Linked DNA regions of Kluyveromyces lactis. The protein of the gene in region 3 purifies or fractionates together with the protein of the main gene of each other region. This does not show direct contact. Links are inferred from orthologs where the notes say so. Each region holds a gene or a part of one and is shown on either strand. Other genes may lie near its edges.

The links.
Region 1: the proteins of SCP160 (region 3) and BFR1 purify together in Saccharomyces cerevisiae (affinity purification with western blotting; 6 studies listed by BioGRID, with this or other methods). This does not show direct contact. The link is inferred for Kluyveromyces lactis from reciprocal best matches to the Saccharomyces cerevisiae genes SCP160 and BFR1.
Region 2: the proteins of SCP160 (region 3) and ASC1 purify together in Saccharomyces cerevisiae (affinity purification with mass spectrometry; 3 studies listed by BioGRID). This does not show direct contact. The link is inferred for Kluyveromyces lactis from reciprocal best matches to the Saccharomyces cerevisiae genes SCP160 and ASC1.

What each region holds. Positions count from the first base shown.
Region 1 is NC_006042.1:82,770-86,207, forward strand, and holds BFR1 (Bfr1p), read right to left. Parts: upstream 1,961-3,438; coding exon 557-1,960; downstream 1-556. Other genes in the region: Ca(2+)-dependent cysteine protease MCA1, read left to right, coding at 1-266; isopentenyl-diphosphate delta-isomerase IDI1, read left to right, coding at 2,864-3,438. UniProt on the Saccharomyces cerevisiae protein: Implicated in secretion, nuclear segregation and in maintenance of cell size.
Region 2 is NC_006041.1:1,085,325-1,088,761, reverse strand, and holds ASC1 (40S ribosomal protein RACK1), read right to left. Parts: upstream 1,985-3,437; coding exon 1,433-1,984; intron 1,292-1,432; exon of another isoform or gene 1,200-1,291; intron 1,033-1,199; coding exon 604-1,032; downstream 1-603. Other genes in the region: APL2 (Apl2p), read left to right, coding at 2,634-3,437. UniProt on the Saccharomyces cerevisiae protein: Component of the ribosome, a large ribonucleoprotein complex responsible for the synthesis of proteins in the cell.
Region 3 is NC_006040.1:203,736-207,493, forward strand, and holds the start of SCP160 (Scp160p), read right to left. Parts: upstream 2,329-3,758; coding exon 1-2,328. Other genes in the region: KLLA0_D02420g (CAP domain-containing protein), read right to left, coding at 2,809-3,447. UniProt on the Saccharomyces cerevisiae protein: Involved in the control of mitotic chromosome transmission. Required during cell division for faithful partitioning of the ER-nuclear envelope membranes which, in S.cerevisiae, enclose the duplicated chromosomes.

The DNA.
Region 1 (3,438 bases), on a different chromosome or scaffold from region 3:
GAGTTAAGCAAATAAAATTCTCGCCAGCTGATGTCATCATGTTTAGTGGTTCAAAAGATAATCAAACGTCGGCTGATGCTACTGAAAATGGTCAAAACACTGGTGCAATGTCCTGGGCTTTCTTAACAGTACTATCAAAACAACCTCAACAGTCCTACTTAAGCTTATTGCAAAATATGAGAGCCGAGTTAAGTAGCAAATACACTCAAAAGCCCCAATTATCTTGTTCGCATGAAATCGATACCAATCTTCAGTTCCTACTATGATATTGGAGTCTTAATCTTATTGCAATCAAGTATACGATGGTATTATAACGTGCTTTCTTTAAAAGATTATATAAGAATATCCAAACATAAACCTACATATAATCAATTCAGTTTCTGTTTAAGATGCTAATATAATTTAGAAGTCATGGGGGTCATTTTGTTATGAGGACACTCCAGATGAAACATTTTAATCTTTTCCAGCCGATAAGTTTTAATATGTACTTGAAATACAAGAATGAAAAAGGCAAGCAGTGGACAACAGAAAAAAATAAGTCTCGTATCTACATCAGTTAAGCTTCAGTTGGGACAGCGGCATCAGCGGCAGCAGCGTCCTCCTTTTCCTTTTGTTCCTTCAATTTTTTGGCTTCAATTTCTTCCTTAACTTTCTGTTCTTTAGCTTCGTACTCTAAGTTAAGTTTCTTGAGCTGTTCTTCAGCTTCTGCAATGTTCTTTTCAGTAGCTTCTGGTTGCTTGGCAGTCAAGTCCTCATGCTTAGCCTTCAACTGTTCAACAGTGGCTGGAACATCGCCCTTGGATAATGGTACTCTGATATCTAATTCGGCCAACAAGGCGATCATGGATGGCTCTAGAGAGAACTTTGTAGATTGCGCCTTCTTCTTGTGTTTCTTTGATTTGGAAGCGGTTGAAGCGGAGAAGAATCCTTCTCTTTCCTTAACGATTGGCACTAACCCTTCAGAATCAACAGTCTTAGTTGGGGTGGCAGTTTGTTGAGATGTGCTACCGAAATCGATACCCAAGACGTTCTTCACTGGCTTAACGTAAGTTGGATCCAAAACAGTCAACATATTCTCAATGGATTCCAATTCGAAGGTGAAAGCAGGCTGTTTGGCATGGTTTAGTCTTTCTTGTAGCTTGCCCACTTTTTCTTCCTTATCTTCTAAGATCTTGGATAGTTTTTCGTCTTCTTCACGTTTCAAACGCTGCTCATCCAACTTCTTCTTGAATGACTTGAATTCGTTGTCGAAATCACCTCTGATCTTCCTAATTTGAGTGTAGATTTCGTCACGCTTGTTGTACAAGGCAGAACGCTTAGTGATTAAAGTCTTTCTCTTGTCGTAAACAACTTGGTTCTTAGAGTTTAAGTTATTGATCTGACCTTGGATAGTTTCGAACTTTGCGGCAACCTCCTTCGGGTTAGAAGCGTTCAATTCCTTCTTCAAAGCATCAATTTGTTCTTTCTCTTCTTCGATAGATTTTCTAATTGGTTCCACAACTTGGAAATCTTTGGACAATTTGTGCAAACTTTGCATTTCCTTGACTCTTAACCTTTCCTCCACCAAGGATAAGTCACCAGAAGCGATTTCATCGTCAATTTCAGCCAATCTTTGCTTGATTTGACCAACATTTTGGAACTTCTTGTTCTTACCGACCAAATCGTTGATCTCACCAGATTTACGTTTGATTTGAGCATCCAAGAACTTAATCTGGTCATGGATTTGTTGTCTCTTAGCCTTCAAGTCCGATTGAGTTTTGATCACTTCCTTCAATTCACCTTGCAGCTTTTCCTTTGAATTCTTAGCATCTTTGGAGAAATCGGTATTATCAATTTGTTGCTTGATCAATGATAATTCTTGATCAATCTTCTTCAACTGAACATTCAATGGCTCTAGCTTCTTGTCTCTGACAGTAACATCAGGTTTCTGAATATGTTGTTTTGGTCTAGCAGTGGACATCCTTGTAATATATTATTATTCTATGGTTATTCACTTGGTCACCTGGAACTAGCAACTGAAACAAGTAACACAAAACAGACTGGTGGAAAAGGTTACAGTTAAAAAGAAAACTTTAAGTATAGAAATGGTAACTTAATAACACTAATTGAACTGAAAAAATACTGTCTCAATTAACGTATCTCAAACACAACCTTTGTAGATCAAGAATTTGATTCTGTTCAAGAATCTGAAATTTTTAACACGTTTGAATAATTTTTCAACGTTCAATTAAAAAAATATCGAATCTTTCCCAAAAGCTTTTTTTTTCTGGAAGACACCACGAATCTTCTTACAGATCAACAGTGCTCTCAGACGGATCGGACCTTTTGTGTGTATTATTCCCTCCGGAACATGACAAAGCTTGAGCTTCAATCTGGGTAGACAATATATTCTGGTCATTTACAAATTTTCGTTTACTACACAGCTTCTCATCCTTCTAATTAAGTTTCCTACTCTTCCATTGTAATACGTAGGTGATCCTCAGCGACAATTTCCGGTTACTGTCGTTTGAGATTTTTCTATATTAAATAAAACTGGGACATTTCTCTCACAGTGTGTTAGTTCATTGCAAAGCTTCAACAAATGGAATAAGAAATGGACAACAGCAGCAGCCTACTGTGTCACTATTGGTAGCATCTCGAATCGCGTGTCTTTCGTATAAAAGTTTCCATTATTTGGCCGATACCGAAATGCAAACAAAAAAAAAATTAGATTTAACGAACAATTTAAAAGAAGAAAAGTTGAGCTCATTCTGCTTTAAAGAATCTTCGAAAACCATCTTGCGGAATAAAGCTAAGCGTATGCATCCTGTAGGACGTGCAGGAATTTCAAACTGAACCTTCACTTAGCGGACCAACAGAAGAGATGTCAACTCAAACTTCTACCTATGCGGACCTTGTGCATTCATTAGAACAAGATGACATCTTAGAAAAGTTTCCTGAGGTCATCCCATTGAACAACAGACCAAATACACATTCTACTGAATCCTCTGGCGAAACGGATAATTTGCTAGATGGATATGATGAGGAACAAATCAGATTGATGAATGAAAATTGTATAGTTTTGGATTGGAACGATACTGCGATTGGTGCTGGTACAAAAAAACTATGTCATTTGATGGAGAACATCAACCAAGGTCTATTACATCGCGCATTTTCTGTGTTCCTTTTTGACAGCGATGGTAAATTACTATTACAACAACGTGCCACTGAAAAGATTACTTTTGCAGATCTTTGGACCAACACATGCTGTTCACACCCTTTGTGCGTCGATGACGAACTTGGACTGAACGGCTCTTTGGAAAGTAAAATAGAGGGTGCCAGAACTGCAGCAGTTAGAAAATTGGAACATGAACTAGGTATCCCACCACAAGAGGTTGAATCTAAAGGAGAATTCCACTTTTTGAACCGTATTCATTACATGGCTCCAAGCGATGGTGC
Region 2 (3,437 bases), on a different chromosome or scaffold from region 3:
ACCTTTTAAAACGAACAAAGAAACAAATGGTTTAATTTACAATTTACAATTTACAGTAGCAAATATAATCTGAATACACAAAAACAATATGAGCAGTAGAAGAACCAAGTCCAGTCCAACCTAAGCTAATGTAAGTTTAAGTTTGTTAATATGAAAAATTTTAATTGAAACGGAATATTTTGCAAAGAGGTTTAAAGTGAACGGTAAAAGTTCAAAAAGTAAATAGAATTGCCATTATAGATAGAGTACGAGTTTCTGCGTTTTCGCCAGGAAGAGAGAGAAAGAAAGGGTGATATGAAGAAAGGGAAGCTAAGGTACCGGGTTGCCCTTGGAATAGCCCTGTGCCACGGTTTTGCCTAACCGAAATGCATATTATGCATGTATAGGTAGAAACCATTGAAAACATAATAATAAGCTAAGATAACAATATCGGAACTCTTATAAGACAGATTAACCGAGGGGAGATCTAATATTATAATGTAAGTTTTTGTATAACTAATATATACATAAGGGATTTATGTTATGATTTATTGGTAATGACGACGACCAAGAATAAATTGTAGGGAATAAAAGCAAAATTAAGAGATTTTAAATTGCTACAACTTAGTTGGCGGTCATGACTTGCCAAACTCTGATGACGTTGTCGGTGTAACCGGCGAACAAAGTTTGACCATCAGCAGACCAAGCCAAAGAAACGGCGTGTGGGTCTTGAGCCTTGGTGTAACCAGCAAATTCTGGCTTCAATTCGTCGATCAAGACTTCGTTTTCCAAGTCGTAGATCTTGATACCAGAAGCAGTAGCAGCGGTCAACCAGAATCTGGATGGAGAGAAGGCCAAAGCAAAGACTTCGTCCTTAGCGTCGAAGTTCATGAAGGCGCTCTTGTGCTTCAAGTTCCAGACGTAGATTTGACCGTCCTTACCAGCAGAAGCAGCTAGAGATCCATCTGGGGATGGTTGAACAACGTTGATGTAGTTGTTGTGACCGATGAAATCAGCTTCGATTCTGTAAGAGTCTTCGTTCAAAGACCAGGACTGTAGTTAATAAGGGGAATGGAAGATAATTCCCAAAATATTGTTAGTAAAAATGATATTTGGTTCAAAGCCATGAGATATATCTGGGAATACAGGCCCAAATTGCTCGCTCCATGATATTCAAATGCACAAAACTCAATTCAAAATTTTAATTCACTAATTAAAAAGACATCAGAGATCTTGGTGATAATTAGTATGTCTCATTCGAAACCATGTAAGGTTACGTCTGAAGTAGCAAATATAAGAAACATCATTTGTCATAGTATAGTGAATTGAGCCATGTATTTTGAGAATATATTACGGGGAAACAACTGAGGACCTGAATTCCAAGGTAAATCAATCTAATCGGGAGATAGGCAATGCAATGCAATGCAATAAAAGAAAAAAGTCTGGCACATACTCTAACGATCTTGTCCATACCAGCAGAAACGAAAGTGATTCTACCGTCATCGACTTCACCGTCTTCCAAGTTCTTTGGAGCAACTCTGACCTTGGTAACCCAGTCGGTGTGACCCAACAAGACGTAGGCACAGTCACCGACAGTGTTCCAAACTCTGATGGTCTTATCTCTGGAAGCAGAGATAATCTTAGAAGAGTTAGCATCAATGGCAACGGACAAAACATCACCGGTGTGACCAACAAATCTAGCTTCAGAGTTACCAGTAGCCAAGTTCCACAATCTCAAGGTCTTATCCCAAGAAGCAGAAACGGCGTAGTTACCGTCAGCAGAGACAACAACATCTTGAACGATGTGAGAGTGACCCTTGTAAGATCTAACTGGGACACCGAATTGTTGTTCGTTTTCGGTCAATCTCCAGGAGATCAAAGTCTTATCTCTGGAACCAGAAACCAACAAGTTTGGTTGAGCAGCAGAGGTAGACAAAGAGGTGACCCAGCCGTTGTGACCTTCTAGGGTACCTCTCAAAACAAGCATAATATTGCTGGAAGACATTTCTTTTCAGTTAATTCCTTGAGATGTGTTGTTCTGATGAATCAAAAGAAGAGAATAGATAACAATTTCAATCAACAAGAACTGATAGCTTAATACTAATGCAGTAAACTCTTGCAAGTTATATCAAGTTCTTAATACTTTCTCAATATTCAAGTGATGAGCTTTGGCTAGAAAAGAATTTTTTTTCAATGTGCGTGGTGCGTGCTGAGTGGTACGCTGAATGGTGTAAGGGTGTCGCGCGTATCTTTTGGTCTGGCAACTCTGAGGACTGTGTTTTTATAAAAAGTCGGGTATATCAGTACACCACACTGCGGTGCGTAAGAATTTACGCAGAAGTGTGAATCTCCCTTAGCAATTTCCCTAATCAGGTAGTAACCATTCTTATTAGGAAGTGAGATCTCTCAATACCGTAACCCGGACATCATATGATGTCCGGGTTACGGAATCTTCCGATACACGTGAGCACACACGTGACCTCGCCAGCAAGCTTTCACTTTCCAGTATTCATAGAAAACATCAATCAAATTAACTGGAATCTGTATATAAATAGATGAACCTGTTTATATTCAAGACTCTGTCCCCAAGCGATTAGTCTTCCTTCCTCCAGCCAATTGCTTGCTCTGCTTTCTCATAAATACCAAGGGAAACAATGGGTGTTGATAAGAAGATCAAGAAGTTCTTAAGAGACGCCATACGAGTGGCTCCTAAGATTTCCAATAAAGGTGAATTGTTTGAACTACGAAATGGATTAGTATCTCAGTACCCACAGACCCGAAAGGACGCGATCCGTAAGATTATTCAACAGATGACTTCCGGCAAAGATGTTTCATCTTTGTTTCCCGACGTTTTGAAGAATATAGCCACTCAAGACATTGAACAGAAGAAATTGGTATACCTTTACGTGGCTAATTATGCAGAAACTCATCCGGAGTTATGCATCCTTGTCGTGAACACATTCGTCAGCGATGCAGCTGATCCGAACCCATTGATTAGGTCTATGGCAATCCGTACCATGTCGATGATCAGAGTTGATAAGATCTTGGAATACATTGAGATTCCGCTAAGAAAGACTCTAGTCGATGATAATCCGTACGTGAGAAGAACCGCGGTACTATGCGTTGCAAAATTGTTCCAATTGAACCCGGACCTATGCCGTGAATTGGGCGTATTGAACGATTTGCAAGACGCTTTGTCTGACGATAATCCAATGGTTGTTGCCAACGCGCTTGCCGCACTGCACGAAATTAACGAATTGGACCCTGGTTCAATAGATATCAAGAAATTAGTATCTCAAAACGTTAAGAGGTTTTTGAACGTGTTGAACGAATGTACAGAATGGGCAAGAATCACTATTTTGGAGTCATTGAGCGAACACAAACCAATTGACCCTATGGAGTCTCAAGAAATTATCGATAGAGTTGTTCCACATTTGCAACACGTAAATCCATCAGTG
Region 3 (3,758 bases):
AATTTCGAAGTCCAAAAGAGCCTTCAGTTCATCATAAGCGGCTTTGACACCACGAGATGGACCTCTGATGGTGACTAACTCACTGTCCTTAGGAAATCTGATGAAAACGGAGTACTTGTTCTCCAAACGGATACGATAAGTGCCTTGAGGTCCACTTAATGTACGGTGGTACTTCATAGGGACGATTAATTCCTTAGTGATAATATCGGACCATTTTTTAGCTTCTGCTAGAATATATGTTTTCGCTTGGTCAAGATTGTATTGCAAACCGGTCAATGTAACATCGGTATTCTCATCCTTAGAATCTTGTGGGATGAAAGTTTGAACGTCAAACTTTTCACGAATTTGTTGTAAGTTAGCACCCTTTGGACCAATCAATCTCGAAACTACATTGGTTGGAACTTGGAATGTGATCTTGGATTCTGTTGATGAATTCTCGACGATGGACTTGACAGCAGCGGAAGCAATCTTACATCCATGGTCATCACCTCTGATAGTAATTTGGTTGACTGAAGGGGTGCTCAACTTGATTAAAGCATGAGCGCCAGCATGAGAAACAGCTTCATTGATCAAGTTCAAAGTGACTTTTGATTCTCCGAGTAGTTCATCCTGTTCTTTTTTGGCAAGGGAAACAACATTGGATGCTAAAAGGCTTTGCTTCTTTCTGATTGGTTCCAATTGTTGGTTGACCGATTCCAGCTTAACTTTTAGTTCATCATCAGATGGCTTGAAATCATCTTCATTGATCTTGGTGATTAGTAAGATATCGTCATTACCTGGGAAACAGTCACCCAATTGAATGAATGGGACATCACTTTCAGTCGAGACCAAGATTTGCTTGATGTCCTTGTGGAATAGATGATAATCCAAATCTGAAATAGTTAACGTTTGTTCTGGAGATAATTCATTAACCAAAGCTACAATTTGTTTACGAACGGTCTTGATAGCGTCTGCGGCATCGTTGTTTGAAATTAAGGTAATACTGACGGATTCCAATGCTGGAATACTTTCCACTTTAGGTAAAACTACTTGCACTTGTGGGAAGTCTTCGGTAATTTGATCTAAGACGTTATATTTTTGGAAGTATAGAATCAAGTTCTTAGCATGTTTAACGTTTTTACCATGAGCTTTTGAAATTTCCAATGATTCCACGGTATGGAATTTAGATGAGTTCTTAGCGTACACGATGGCCTCATTGACGTTGTCAGAGCTTCCGATGAAAACGAATTGATCATCGCCGGAAATACTTGGAGCTTGTACTTCGACGTGGAACTTCTCATTCAATTCTGAAGGCTTTACCAAAGGATGGAATTTGAATGGGACCTTTTCCTTTTTCACCACGATCTTTAGACCCAATTCGTTCAAATAGTTGATCACCTTAACCTTGGCCAATTTAACATTATCACGAGGACCATTTAATGCGATTTCAGCGGGGTCATTGTTTGTAAACAGCTGCGCCTTTACATCAGCTGGAATTTCAACTGATTCTAGATCGATGAAGGGAACCAACTTGGAGTCCTCGACAGGAAGAACAATCTTGGCGTTTTTAGTTTCCTCCTTCACGACGTCCAAGATCTTACTCTTTGCAACGAGAACAGATTCAGCATCGCCGTGTAAAGAGATGGTTACTGAATAGTCTTCCAAATCTGAATCGTAGGTACCCTCATCAACCTCCTTCGGAACCACGATTTTTACACCAGCAGCATCTGAGATTGCTCTGATGGTCTTACCACCAGATCCGATAATGGCAGATCTAGTTTTTGAAGGAACTTCAAAAGTCACATTGACAGGTTTAGTCAACTTCTTGACCAACTCTCTCTTAGCAAGACCAATCTTGTCAGAAGAACCAGAGATCAAGAAAGTACGCGAAGTCTTTGATAGTGTGGATTCCACAGAGACATCGTACTTTTGTTTAACAGACTGAACGATGCTGGAGAATTCGGTCTTTGTGATTTGGTATTGTGCATCTAAGTCTAGCGAGAACACTTCCTGAATGTTTCTCGAACGCAATGGCTTAGCAGAACCAGGTGAAGAAGCACGTCCGTTTTTGCCATGGGAAAGAGAAGAGACACTGTTAACGGAGCTACCTGATTTCAGAGTAGACCCCCAGGAGACAGCATTGCCAGAAGCAGACGCAGCAGCATTTCCTCCCAATCTTGGAAATAAAACCTTGACCGCTGGCGCAGTGGCAGCTTCTTCACCATTAGACTTTTCAGTTTGTTCAATTGTTTGGCCAGCTAATTTCGACGAATCATCAGCAGAAGAAGGTGGCGTATCTACCACGATTTGAGAATAATCTTCAGCAACATCAGGAGTGATTTCAGACATTATTGAAAATAAAGGAAGGTCCGGTTATAACAAAGCAGTAAATCAAAAACTAAAAAATCAGTAACAAACAAACAAATACCCTTAACTAATATTCAATATAGTGAGTGATTGAGTATTAAGCACAGGAAATAAAAGAGAAAAAGCAAACACACACGACTATGATACAGAAAAACGGTTGAGTATATTCTATAGTACACCAATTGATCCCACAATTCACTTATTCGGCTAATCTAGGTGGCTTGAAACCGGTATCTATGATTCAAAGTTTAACTATTTTTATATTTTAAACCTTCTTTTCTCTAACTGAATTTCACTTCTTATTTCTTCATATTGTCGAAGCTTCGAAAAGAACAACGATCCAAATCGTGTGAAAGCCCGTGAAAAGAAAGGAGAAGTGTTGGTTACCCTGAGTTCGTGATTTGCAAGGGAAAGAATCAACCAACGCTTATCAAGTCTTCTGTCATCGGACAGTTTTCTATTTTACTTCTCGGGTAAGACATTTTCACTGAACTTTCCGATTACATTCCCCGGTGGGTCGTATTCGCATACTGTATATTGACCGTAATACTGGCCACATCGTATAAATGCACAGCCAAGTTTCGAGGTATTTTTCCATACCAGCTGGGTGAAATGTCCTGTATTTGCTGCGAACTGTGGGTTGTTAAAATCGTACAGTTTTACCTCGTTATACCATGCTAGAACAGCTGAGGTAGTATTATATCCTAGAGCAAGGTTCTCTCCGTAAGGCAGCTTTGAGTGTTCTAATTGCCCGTTGCATACGTAAGAATTGGCGAAATTTTGTGCTCTAGATGCAAGTTCTGGAGCCCAAACTAGCGATGAAACCTGATGTTTCTTGCGTAATGAGTTGTGCACGTCCAGGATTTCCGTTTTGAAATCCGGGTCCGTGGCCGTTGGTTTTGTGGACACTTGTTCCGTGAAGGTGCCGGAGGCTGTTCTGTAAACAATTGTTCTTGAAGTTGTGAAATGTGTTGTCGTTGAGACGGTTTTCGTTCTTATTATTCGAACAGTGTTGTATTTTGTCACTGTTATACCCTGTGCATGACACAAGATTTTTGCGTGGATTAGTACCACCAATATGAGCCAGTAAACCTGATTCATTTGGCAGGTGTTGCTCTATTTCCGAAGTTTATCTATCTGAAAAATTATGCCTCAAGGGTTATAGATACTTAAGCCATTCGAAAACCAGAAACATTAATGGCCCTGTTTATAAGCTATCAAGTTGCAAGCTCTGCCGATAGCTCTGTGTTCCAGGATTGTATGGAATTTGCAAGAAAACTGATAGGGTATAAAAACGTATACATAAAACGACAAAAGGTATCTAAAAAATACGGACTGAATTCTAGAGTAAAATAAGATAGTGACGCCAGCAGACGACCGGGATAATCAAACGATAATCTACCATCTTCCTG